3 linked regions of the Macaca fascicularis genome follow. The protein of the gene in region 1 binds, or shares a complex with, the protein of each later gene. Links are inferred from orthologs where the notes say so. Each region holds a gene or a part of one and is shown on either strand. Other genes may lie near its edges.

The links.
Region 2: MED13 (region 1) and MED25 share a complex: the UniProt entries of both Homo sapiens proteins name them as parts of the mediator complex. The link is inferred for Macaca fascicularis from reciprocal best matches to the Homo sapiens genes MED13 and MED25.
Region 3: MED13 (region 1) and MED24 share a complex: the UniProt entries of both Homo sapiens proteins name them as parts of the mediator complex. The link is inferred for Macaca fascicularis from reciprocal best matches to the Homo sapiens genes MED13 and MED24.

Annotation. Positions count from the first base shown.
Region 1 is NC_088390.1:46,446,459-46,450,106, forward strand, and holds part of MED13 (mediator of RNA polymerase II transcription subunit 13), read right to left. Parts: intron 1,674-3,648; coding exon 1,583-1,673; intron 1,451-1,582; coding exon 1,236-1,450; intron 950-1,235; coding exon 753-949; intron 1-752. UniProt on the Homo sapiens protein: Component of the Mediator complex, a coactivator involved in the regulated transcription of nearly all RNA polymerase II-dependent genes.
Region 2 is NC_088393.1:57,802,618-57,806,970, forward strand, and holds the start of MED25 (mediator of RNA polymerase II transcription subunit 25), read left to right. Parts: upstream 1-1,426; 5' UTR 1,427-1,479; coding exon 1,480-1,613; intron 1,614-1,707; coding exon 1,708-1,753; intron 1,754-2,967; coding exon 2,968-3,092; coding exon of another isoform or gene 3,093-3,114; intron 3,115-3,671; exon of another isoform or gene 3,672-3,769; intron 3,770-4,353. UniProt on the Homo sapiens protein: Component of the Mediator complex, a coactivator involved in the regulated transcription of nearly all RNA polymerase II-dependent genes.
Region 3 is NC_088390.1:61,081,094-61,083,675, reverse strand, and holds the end of MED24 (mediator of RNA polymerase II transcription subunit 24), read left to right. Parts: intron 1-753; coding exon 754-834; intron 835-1,095; exon of another isoform or gene 1,096-1,161; coding exon 1,162-1,310; intron 1,311-1,446; coding exon 1,447-1,563; 3' UTR 1,564-2,001; downstream 2,002-2,582. UniProt on the Homo sapiens protein: Component of the Mediator complex, a coactivator involved in the regulated transcription of nearly all RNA polymerase II-dependent genes.

The sequences.
Region 1 (3,648 bases):
TCTAAGATGCTACTGACTGTAAAATAAAAAAATGATTAAAAAAATGATTTCAGAGATGCTCATGTGTAAAAAGGGAAAAATGGTAATTTTAAGATGCTACCACTTATAAGACATCTCAAATTCAGATTTCTTTCAGCCTTGAGTTGAAATGGACAAAGTCAGAGATGTTAAAATGTGACACGTGTGGAAAATATGGCAAATGTAAAAGTGGAAGCAATTTAAAATTGCAGCCCAAAAGAAAAGGTGCTTCTGAATACAAATCCAGCATAATAGTCTTATGTTTCCTAATAGTTTAACCATACCTAATTAACCTTTTTTTTTTTTTTTTTTTGAGACGAAGTCTTACTCTGTTGCCCAGGCTGGAGTGCACTGGTGCAATCTCGGCTCCCTGCAACATGTGCCTCCCAGGATCAAGTCATTCCTGTGCCTCAGCCTCTCAAGTAGCTGGGACTACAGTCACACTACCACGCTTGGCTAATTTTTGTATTTTTAGTAGAGACGAGGTTTTGCATGTTGGCCAGGCTGATCTCAAACTCCTGACCTCAAGGGATATGCCTGCCTTGGCCTCCCAAAGTGTTGGAATTACAGGTGTGAGCCACTGCTCCCAGCCAATCACTATAATTGATTAACCAGAAATAATTTTTAGAATTTTCAAAAACCAATTTTCTTTTTCCAGCATACCAAGTAAATCTATGAAAAAAAATTAAAGCTGTATAAGAATTCATATACTATTATAACAACATAAATCATACCCCTCTTTGATGAATGGCATTGCAGACCCTGAAGAAAGCAATTCCAATTTTCCAACAGTCCAACTCTGACGATAAATACACTCTTCTGGCAATTTGATAGGGGGCAGATATTGGCTTGGTAGAGTTTTTAGAGGTGCAAACATGGAACATCCCACTAGAATTTGACAATTTTCAGGCTTATAGACATAAGAAAAATCCTACAATATAAAGATGGTAGGTTTTCAGTATCTTATCTTCTGGGGGGGAAAATAAATAAAAATCTCAAACAGGCTCTGGACCTTTTTTCCCTTCTTTAAACAGAATAAAATGTAAATACAATTCTATTATTTTCTTAAATGCATTCTTAATAGTGACACAACAATTCAGTCTTCAACTTAGCTACAAAACTGCAACCACTATGAAATAATTTTTGACTATAGCAATAAACTAATTCTATAAGAAAATACAGGAAGTGAATTATTTTTCTAGAAAAAACATACTTACTTTAATTTCAGAAGGTTTGGGACTACAGAATCCCTCATCAACCTCAATTTTGAACTGTGCTCCTATACTAGAACTATTTCCTTCTAGAACAGTTCCTCCAGGTGTTGTATCCATACTACCATATTCTTTATTATTCATATTCATTGGGGAAAATCCCATAATATGTTGCTCCAATGATGGTGGTGTAGGATACATTTTATGAAGATCTGCAGTGCCTATATTTAATAAAAACATACATTTTAACATGACTAAAAATAGGTGAATCTGTGGTTAAAACAAAGGGAGTGGGGAGCTTTGTTGAGATTAAGTTTGCAAATTTATCACGAGCACAGATGATGGAAGCTTACTTATGCAAGACAACGGGTCCAGATTTCCTGTCTTTGATTCCTTGCAGCTGGTTTTATCATCTGATCCATTCGCTGATTTTTTAGATCCAGGCTATTTAAAAAAAGCATATTTATCTAAAATTTTACATCCAATGTGATCTCAAAATAGTAATCATTCAGATATAACTTAACAGTAAAGCCCATTCATTAAAAGTAATATTTTGAATCTGTGATACAGCCAAATACATACTAGTGTTGAACGATATAATACATTTCTTAGATCATCACTGACTTCATACTTATTTATTTGGTAATATTTATTTGGTAAGCCTCCAAATTAAAAAGAAAAAGTTCCTCCAATGAAAATGACCAATACTTTCAAAATACACAGAAGTAAGGTTAACCTTACTTAAAACCCAAAATAGGGCCGGGCGCGGTGGCTCACGCCTGTAATCCCAGCACTTTGGGAGGCTGAGACGGGCGGATCACGAGGTCAGGAGATCGAGACCATCCTGGCTAACACGGTGAAACCCCGTCTCTACTAAAAAATACAAAAAACTAGCCGGGCGAGGTGGCGGGCGCCTATAGTCCCAGCTACTCGAGAGGCTGAGGCAGGAGAATGGCGTGAACCCGGGAGGCGGAGCTTGCAGTGAGCTGAGATCCGGCCACTGCACTCCAGCCTGGGTGACAGAGCGAGACTCCAGACTCCGTCTCAAAAAAAAAAAAAAAAAAAAAAAACCCAAAATAAGAGGCCAGACGTGGTAGCTCACACCTGTAATCCTAGCACTTTGGGAGGTTGAGGCAGGCAGATCAAAAAATTTGAGGCCAGGAGTTCGAGACCAGCCTGGTCAACATGGTGAAACCTCACCTCTACTAAAAATACAAAAAATTAGCCGGGCCTGGTGGGGCATGCCTGTAATTCCAGTTACTCGGGAGGCTGAGGCACAAGAATTGCAGGAGGCTGAGGCAGAAGAATTGCTTGAGCCTGGGAGGCAGAGGTTGCAGTGAGCCGGGATTGCACCACTGCACTCCAGCATGGGCAACAGAGCAAGACTCTGTCTTAAAATAAATAAAAATAGGGCCGGGCGCGGTGGCTCAAGCCTGTAATCCCAGCACTTTGGGAGGCCGAGACGGGCGGATCACGAGGTCAGGAGATCGAGACCATCCTGGCTAACACGGTGAAACCCCGTCTCTACTAAAAAATACAAAAAACTAGCCGGGCGAGGTGGCGGGCGCCTGTAGTCCCAGCTACTCGGGAGGCTGAGGCAGGAGAATGGTCTAAACCCGGGAGGCGGAGCTTGCAGTGAGCTGAGATCCGGCCACTGCACCCCAGCCTGGGCGACAGAGCAAGACTCTGTCTCAAAAAAATAAATAAATAAATAAATAAATAAATAAATAAAAATAAGAAAACTTGCAATAAGAAGGAGCAGTAATTAACATTAGAAATGCTTTTTGGTAGAAGATACTTGCAAAGCATTTGTCTCCTTAAGTTGAACACATTAAAGTTTCGTATATAATCAATCACCCATCTATCAAAATTCTTATACTTTTACCTTGTTTTAATAGTCTCCTTACTCCTGCAAAAATACTGTTAACAGGTAAAACTAAGTACAAACTTCAGAAGATCTAATGACAAAGCAATAGGGTTCCTAAGTTTTCATACATTGAACAAACAAGTTTTACTATCTCCAAGCTCTTACCAATGTTTTCAGAGCTAATATTAGTTCTATGTCTTCTGTTAGACAGTTTGTGATAAATATTAATAAGAAGACCACGTTCTGACTACAACCTTTTTATCTCAGAGGAACCACAGCTGATACAGGAATGGTAGTAGAGAGAACGTATTAATGTGCCAAAGCATTCAAGGATATAGTCATTTAGTAAAGGGTGCCCTAAAATGTACTACACTATGGGATATACAGTAAAAGTTTATGTATCTGCAGCATATATATGTATATGTACACACACACATATACACAAATAGAGAGATATATATGTTGAGAGAGGACTAAATGCATATTATACAGTAAAAGAAAGACCAAATGTACCACAGAAGTTTCCAAGCTACCTTTATGCAGATGAAAAGG
Region 2 (4,353 bases), on another chromosome or scaffold:
AGCCTGGGAGATAGAGCGATACAACGTCTCAAAAAAAAAAAAAAAAAAAAAAAAAAAAAAATTAAAAATTAGCTGGGAGTGGTGGTGCGCGGCTGTGGTCCCAGCTGCTCTACAGGCAGAAGAGTGGCTCCAGTGCGAGCACTAGAGGCTGCCGTGAGCCAAGATTGGGCCACTGCACTCCAACCTGCACAACAGAAAGAGACCCTGTCTCAAAAAATAAAAATTAAAATTAAAAAGATAATAGTAATGCAGTGTTTCTATTTTTCTATATTATTCATCAATAAGATTTGTGTAGCACATTTCTGTCAACAAACACGTTAGATTATTCCAGTTGGTAGTGTATTTTTCAACTTGGTTTATGCAGTCTTTTGGGAAAAATTAATAAAGACTACGTTTTCTGACTTTGCTGTAGTGCTAAGAAACTCCATGGCAGTCATTAAGATTTTTTTCCTTCAGATAGTTTTCGAGTTTCATTTGTCGCACTTACATTTTTAATCTACCTGGAATGTATTTATGTTCTAGGCCAGTTTCTGGCTCCTCTCCCGGAAAACAACGCTCAGGTGTTGCTAAGCAACCCACACTTGGGTTGGTGTTCGGCTTCTTTTCAGGGGAAAAACAACTGCCCTCCCTTCCAAGTTGAGGACGACCTTAAAGCGTTGCCTAGTAACCTCGTTTCCGCCGATGTGATTGGATCCTTCTCGCCTCCCTCCCCCAGTGCGCCCGCCCAAAAGAACAGAATCAGAAACTTAATCTAACGGTTAGAAAACAAGGGCAGAGGTCCCGGCGCTGTGGCTCAGGACTGTAATCTTAGCACTTTGGGAATCCAAGGCGGGCGAATCACTTGAGGTCAGGAGTTCGAGAACAGCCTGGCCCACATGGTGTAAACCCTTTCTCTGCTAAAAATACAAAAATTAGCGGAGCCTGGTGGCGGGCACCTGTAATCCCAGCTACTCGGAAGGCTGAGGCAGGAGAATCGCTTGAACCCGGGAGGCGGAGGTTGTAGTGAGCCGAGATCGCGCCACTGCACTTCAGCCTGGGCGACAGGGCGAGACTCCCGTTTCGAAAACAAAGGAAACAAAACACAAAAACGAAAACAAGAGCAGCGTACGCGTTGCATAGCAACCAGGTCTCCCGCCCCTCCCTTTGAGACAAGAGGCGGACCCAGACGCCCCGCTCAAAGATGGCGGCTGACTGAGCCGCTTTCAATTTATTTCGCTCTTGAGAATCCTGACAAGAATTCCGTCGAACCCATCAGGCCCCTAAAAGGGCTAACTATGCCCTTTCTGAGTTTTCCACGTGGTGGAGGCGAAGGAGGATGGAGCTAGAACGAAGCCTCAGCGCGTGCCCCGCACAAACATGGCCGCATTCCCAGCGTCCCTAAACCGCCCGGCGCGGGTGCGCGCGCAGCGCAGGCGCATTTCCGCTCATTCCGCGGTGTCGGCTGCGGCGGCTGTGGCGGTGGCGGCTACCGCACGGGGTATGGTCCCCGGGTCCGAGGGCCCGGCCCGCGCCGGGGGCCTGGTGGCCGACGTGGTGTTTGTGATTGAGGGTACGGCCAACCTGGGACCCTACTTCGAGGGACTCCGCAAGCACTACCTGCTGCCGGCCATCGAGTGAGTGCCGTTTCCGCGGCTCTAATCCCGCCCTCCCATTTCGGTTTCCACAGCTTCTTGCCTGACTCCGACCTTTCACCTCCGACCCTCACAGGTATTTTAATGGTGGTCCTCCTGCTGAGACGGACTTCGGGGGAGACGTGAGTCTTGGGACTCCTGGGTCTGAGGGAGGAGGGGCTGGGGGCCTGGACTCCTGGGTCTGAGGGAGGAGGAGGGGCCTGGACTACTGGGTCTGAGGGAGGAGGGGTTCGGGGTCTGGACTCCTGGGTCTGAGGGAGGAGGGGTTCGCGGTCTGGACTCCTGGGTCTGAGGGAGGAGGGGTTCGGGGTCTGGACTCCTGGGTCTGAGGGAGGAGGAGGGGCCCGGACTCCTGGGTCTGAGGGAGGAGGGACAGGGGTCTGGACTCCTGGGTCTGAGGGAGGAGGGGTTCGGGGTCTGGACTCCTGGGTCTGAGGGAGGAGGGGTTCGGGGTCTGGACTCCTGGGTCTGAGGGAGGAGGAGGGGCCTGGACTCCTGGGTCTGAGGGAGGAGGGACAGGGGTCTGGACTCCTGGGTCTGAGGGAGGAGGAGGGGCCTGGACTCCTGGGTCTGAGGGAGGAGGGACAGGGGTCTGGACTCCTGGGTCTGAGGGAGGAGGGACAGGGGTCTGGACTCCTGGGTCTGAGGGAGGAGGGGTTCGGGGTCTGGACTCCTGGGTCTGAGGGAGGAGGAGGGGCCTGGACTCCTGGGTCTGAGGGAGGAGGGACAGGGGTCTGGACTCCTGGGTCTGAGGGAGGAGGAGGGGCCTGGACTCCTGGGTCTGAGGGAGGAGGGACAGGGGTCTGGACTCCTGGGTCTGAGGGAGGAGGAGTTCGGGGTCTGGACTCCTGGGTCTGAGGGAGGAGGGGATGGGGCTGAGATTCCTGGGTCTGAGGAAGGAGGAAGTTGAGGAGTTCCTGGTTCTGGAGGAACAGGAAGCTGGGAGCCCTGATTCCTTCTCTGAGGGAAAAGAGAATTGAGATCCCAGATTAAAAGTTTTTCTGGGCCGGGCGTGGTGGCTCAAGCCTGTAATCCCAGCACTTTGGGAGGCCGAGACGGGCGGATCACGAGGTCGGGAGATCGAGACCATCCTGGCTAACACGGTGAAACCCCGTCTCTACTAAAAAATACAAAAAACTAGCCGGGCGAGTGGCGGGCGCCTGTAGTCCCAGCTACTCGGGAGGCTGAGGCAGGAGAATGGCGTAAACCCGGGAGGCGGAGCTTGCAGTGAGCTGAGATCCGGCCACTGCGCTCCAGCCTGGGCGGCAGAGCGAGACTCCGTCTCAAAAAAAAAAATAAAAAATAAAAAAAAAGTTTTTCTGTTCTCCCCTCCCAGTATGGAGGGACCCAGTACAGCCTCGTGGTGTTCAACACAGTGGACTGCGCTCCCGAGTCCTATGTACAATGTCACGCTCCCACCAGCAGCGCCTATGAGTTTGTCACCTGGCTCGATGGCATTAAGTGAGCTTTTCCCCCACTTAGGGTGGGTTGGGGTTCCTGTGAGGGGCCGTGAATGAGGGATGGCTTGGGTTTGAGCTGCAGGAAACATCTCATACATGAAGCGATTTAAAGGACTTTGAAGGTGATTGTGTTTTTGTCAGAAGTCACTTTTGTGGCTTCTGTGTGCTCAGCAATGTTGCCAACCAGTTTAGAAGTAGGAAAAACTTCCCATTCAGGGAGGCCTCGCTGAGCTCCAGCAGCCACCTTGTACTTCCTGTGTGATTGTCCCCTTTCTGTCCTCTCTTTTTCTATTTACCCCGTTCTCCTTTTCCAGATGGGTACATTGTAGTCTCAATGCAGGGGGATGGGTCAGAGCCAGGATAGATCCCTCTGTGGCTTGAATCAGACCTTTTTTTTTTTTCCTTTGAAACAGAGTCTTGCTCTGTCTCCCAGGCTGGAGTACAGTGGCAGAGTCTTGGCTCACTGCAACCTGCACCTCCCGGGTTCAAGCGATTCTGCCTCAGCCTCCTGAGTAGCTGGGATTACAGGCACACGCCACTACGCCCAGCTAATTTTTTTTTTTTTTTTTTTTTTTTTTAGTAGAGACGGGGTTTCGCTATGTTGACCAGGCTGGTCTCGAACTCCTGACCTCACGTGATCTGCCTGCCTCAGCTTCCCAAAGTGCTGGGATTACGGGGGTGAGCCACTGTTTCGGGATTGAGGAGGACGGGAGAGAGTCTTCCGCTTAAAGCAAGAGAATCTTTCATTGAGTGCACTCAGGCCCAAGCAGACTCACGTCCAAAGACGGCCTGGAACAAAGACAGCACTTGACTTTTATACACACTTCACAAAAGGGGGTGGGCTAGCTTGAAGCAAACTTACAGTGGCGTGAAAGCAGGGATACAGAGGCAGGACAAAGACAGTTAATCAAATTGTTGTAACAGGTTTATAACTCAGGATTACACATAACCGTTGCTATGCAACCCAGATGTCCGTTATCTAGGTTTGCCTAGACACGGGCTTATCCCATAACCTTCACTATGGTGCCCAGGCAGCTCAGGCTTCTCATGACCTTCACTGTACTTCTTAGATAAAAGAGAATACTTGAAGTCATTAGTTACAGAGAACAGAAATCTATAAACTCATTCCATAAAACAAAGGAAAATTTGTTTTTTCTTCTCCCTATGTTGAGGGAGTGCTGGGAGAGTCTCCAAGAGCACATTAGGTAATATTATCAAAACTTTTCCTGGGTCTGGGCTGTGTCTGTTGCTGCCTCTCAGGC
Region 3 (2,582 bases), about 15 Mb from region 1:
CCGAGGCCCCTCTGTGCCTTTTTTGTTGTTGTTTTTTGAGTTGGAGTCTCCCTCTCTTGCCCAGAGGGAGTGCAGTGACGTGATCTTGGCTCACTGCAACCTCCGCCTCCTGGGTTAAGCAGTTTTTCTGTCTGAGCCTCCTGAGTCGCTGGGACTACAGGCGCCTGCCACAACGCCCGGCTAATTTTTGTATTTTAGTAGAGATGGGCTTTCGCCATATTAGTCAGGCTGGTCTCAAACTCCTGAACTCAGGTGATCTACCCGCCTTGGCCTCCCAGAGTGCTAGGATTACAGGCATGAACCCCCGCGCTCAGCCTGTTTTTTTGAGACAGGGTTTTGCTCTGTTGCTCATGCTGGAGTGCAGTGGCACCATCTCGGCTCACTGCAGCCTTGTTCTCCTGGGCTCAAGCAGTCTGCCTCAGCCTCCCAAGGAGCTGGGACTACAGGCTTTGGCACCATGCCCAGCTAATTTTTGTATTTTTTGTAGAGATGGGGTCTCGCTAGTTGCCAAGGTTGGTCTTGAACTCCTGGGCTTAAGCAGTCCTCCTGCCTTGGCCTCCCAAAGTGCTGGAATTACAGGTGTGAGCCCCTGCACCCAGCCTCCCTCTGTGCTCTTGATCTCAGGGTCTTCTCTGGGCTTTCCATGTACCAGTTACCTCCGATGGGTGAAGGTCAGGTGGGGGTATCCCCAGGGAGCGCCGCTTTTGCACTCGGCAGGCTGTTCCCCAGCGCTCTGTCTGCTCTGTCCCACAGCAGACCGGTCCATGAGCAGCTCCCTCTCAGCCTCTCAGCTCCACACCGTCAACATGCGGGACCCTCTGAACCGAGTCCTGGGTAAGTTCCCCACCCGTGCTGCTGAACCTGGGGTTAAGCTGGACGAGTCCCTCTCCTCATGGAGGCTGGGCGACCTTGTCATCTGGAAGGGGCCTCATGGTGCCCCTCCCTTCTCCCTCCATGCTCCTCATTGCTGGCTGTCCTGGCTCCCAGGCTCCTGTCTAGTTCCCCCCCTCCCCTCCCCGGTTGCCTTTTATATTTTCTCTCTCTGACACCCCGTTTTGGGGACATGCTCAGCATGTATTTCTTTTCCCTTTTCAGTCCCGCCTTCTCCCAGAGTGTGACCTCACCCCCTCTCATGGAACTCCCTCCTGTCACTCTCCACAGCCAACCTCTTCCTGCTCATCTCCTCCATCCTGGGGTCGCGCACCGCTGGGCCCCACACCCAGTTCGTGCAGTGGTTCATGGAGGAGTGTGTGGACTGCCTGGAGCAGGGTGGCCGCGGCAGTGTCCTGCAGTTCATGCCCTTCACCACCGTGAGTACCACCTTCCTGGCTCTCCCGCTGGTGCTGGGGCCTCGGTGCAGCCCTTGGAGCAGGGAGGGGCCTCCTTCCCCTGGGACAGCACGCCCACCACCAGCCATCCAGCAAGCAGCATCTCTGTCTGTGGCAGGTGTCGGAACTGGTGAAGGTGTCAGCCATGTCCAGCCCCAAGGTGGTTCTGGCCATCACGGACCTCAGCCTGCCCCTGGGCCGCCAGGTGGCTGCTAAAGCCATTGCTGCACTCTGAGGAGCTTGGCATGGCCGCAGTGGGGGCTGGGGGCTGGGGACTGGCACAGCCCCAGGTGCCTCCAAGGGAAGCAGTGAGGAAAGATGAGGCATCGTGGCTCACATCCGCTCCACATGGTGCAAGAGCCTCTGGCAGCTTCTAATTCCCCGCTTCTGACTCCTGACCTCCAGGATGTCTCCTGGTTTCCTCTTTTGAAATTTCTTCTCTGTCTGCCAGCACCTGAGGAGTGTGAGCAGCCTGGACCACAAGCCCAGTGGTCACCCCTGTGTGCGCCCGCCCCAGCCCAGGGGTAATCTTACTTCTGAGGAACTTTCTAGACGCAGAGAGTGTGTGTGTGTGTGTGTGTGTGTGTGTGTGTGTGTGTGTATATATTTTGTAATATGTGAGGGAAATCTACCTTTGTTCATGTGTAAATAAAGCTCCTCGTGGATCCCTTTGCGACTGTGGGTGCTGTTGGTATCAGTGTCACCCGGGGCGGGGCACAGTGCTCTCTCCCTGGACTGCCTGTGCTGTGGCCGGGGAAAGCGCACTCCTGTGGTGAGGAGGAGGAGGAAGAGGTGCAGAGGTGGCAGGGCTTAGGGTCCTATGTGGACTTGCTCAGCTGAGGAAGGGCCAGGGGAAAGCAGCTTCCCTTCCTTGGAGCCAAGTTGGCCGGCCTGCTGCCCCTCCCGCAAAGCCAGCTGTACCCTGAAAGGGGAGAGGCTTTGGCTCAGGGCCCCACAGTGCTGGGGCAGGGTGGCCTGCTCTGCTTTCTCCCGAACCTGGCCCAACCCTACCCACACTCTGACTAGCCTGGGATTTGGTCTGTTGCCTCCAAAAAAGGACTGGGGGATGGGAGGCGGGGGGATGAGGGCCGGACCTTTCTTTAACCCTTCCTTGCCTGCCTCACACGTCTCCGAGCCTGGCAGTGGACACTTCTGACCCTGCTTTCCGAGGAGCCACGGGCTGGGGAGGTGGGAGGGACCGAGGAGCTGAGGAGGACAAGGCTTGGGCAGATAGTGGACTGGGGGCTGGTGGGG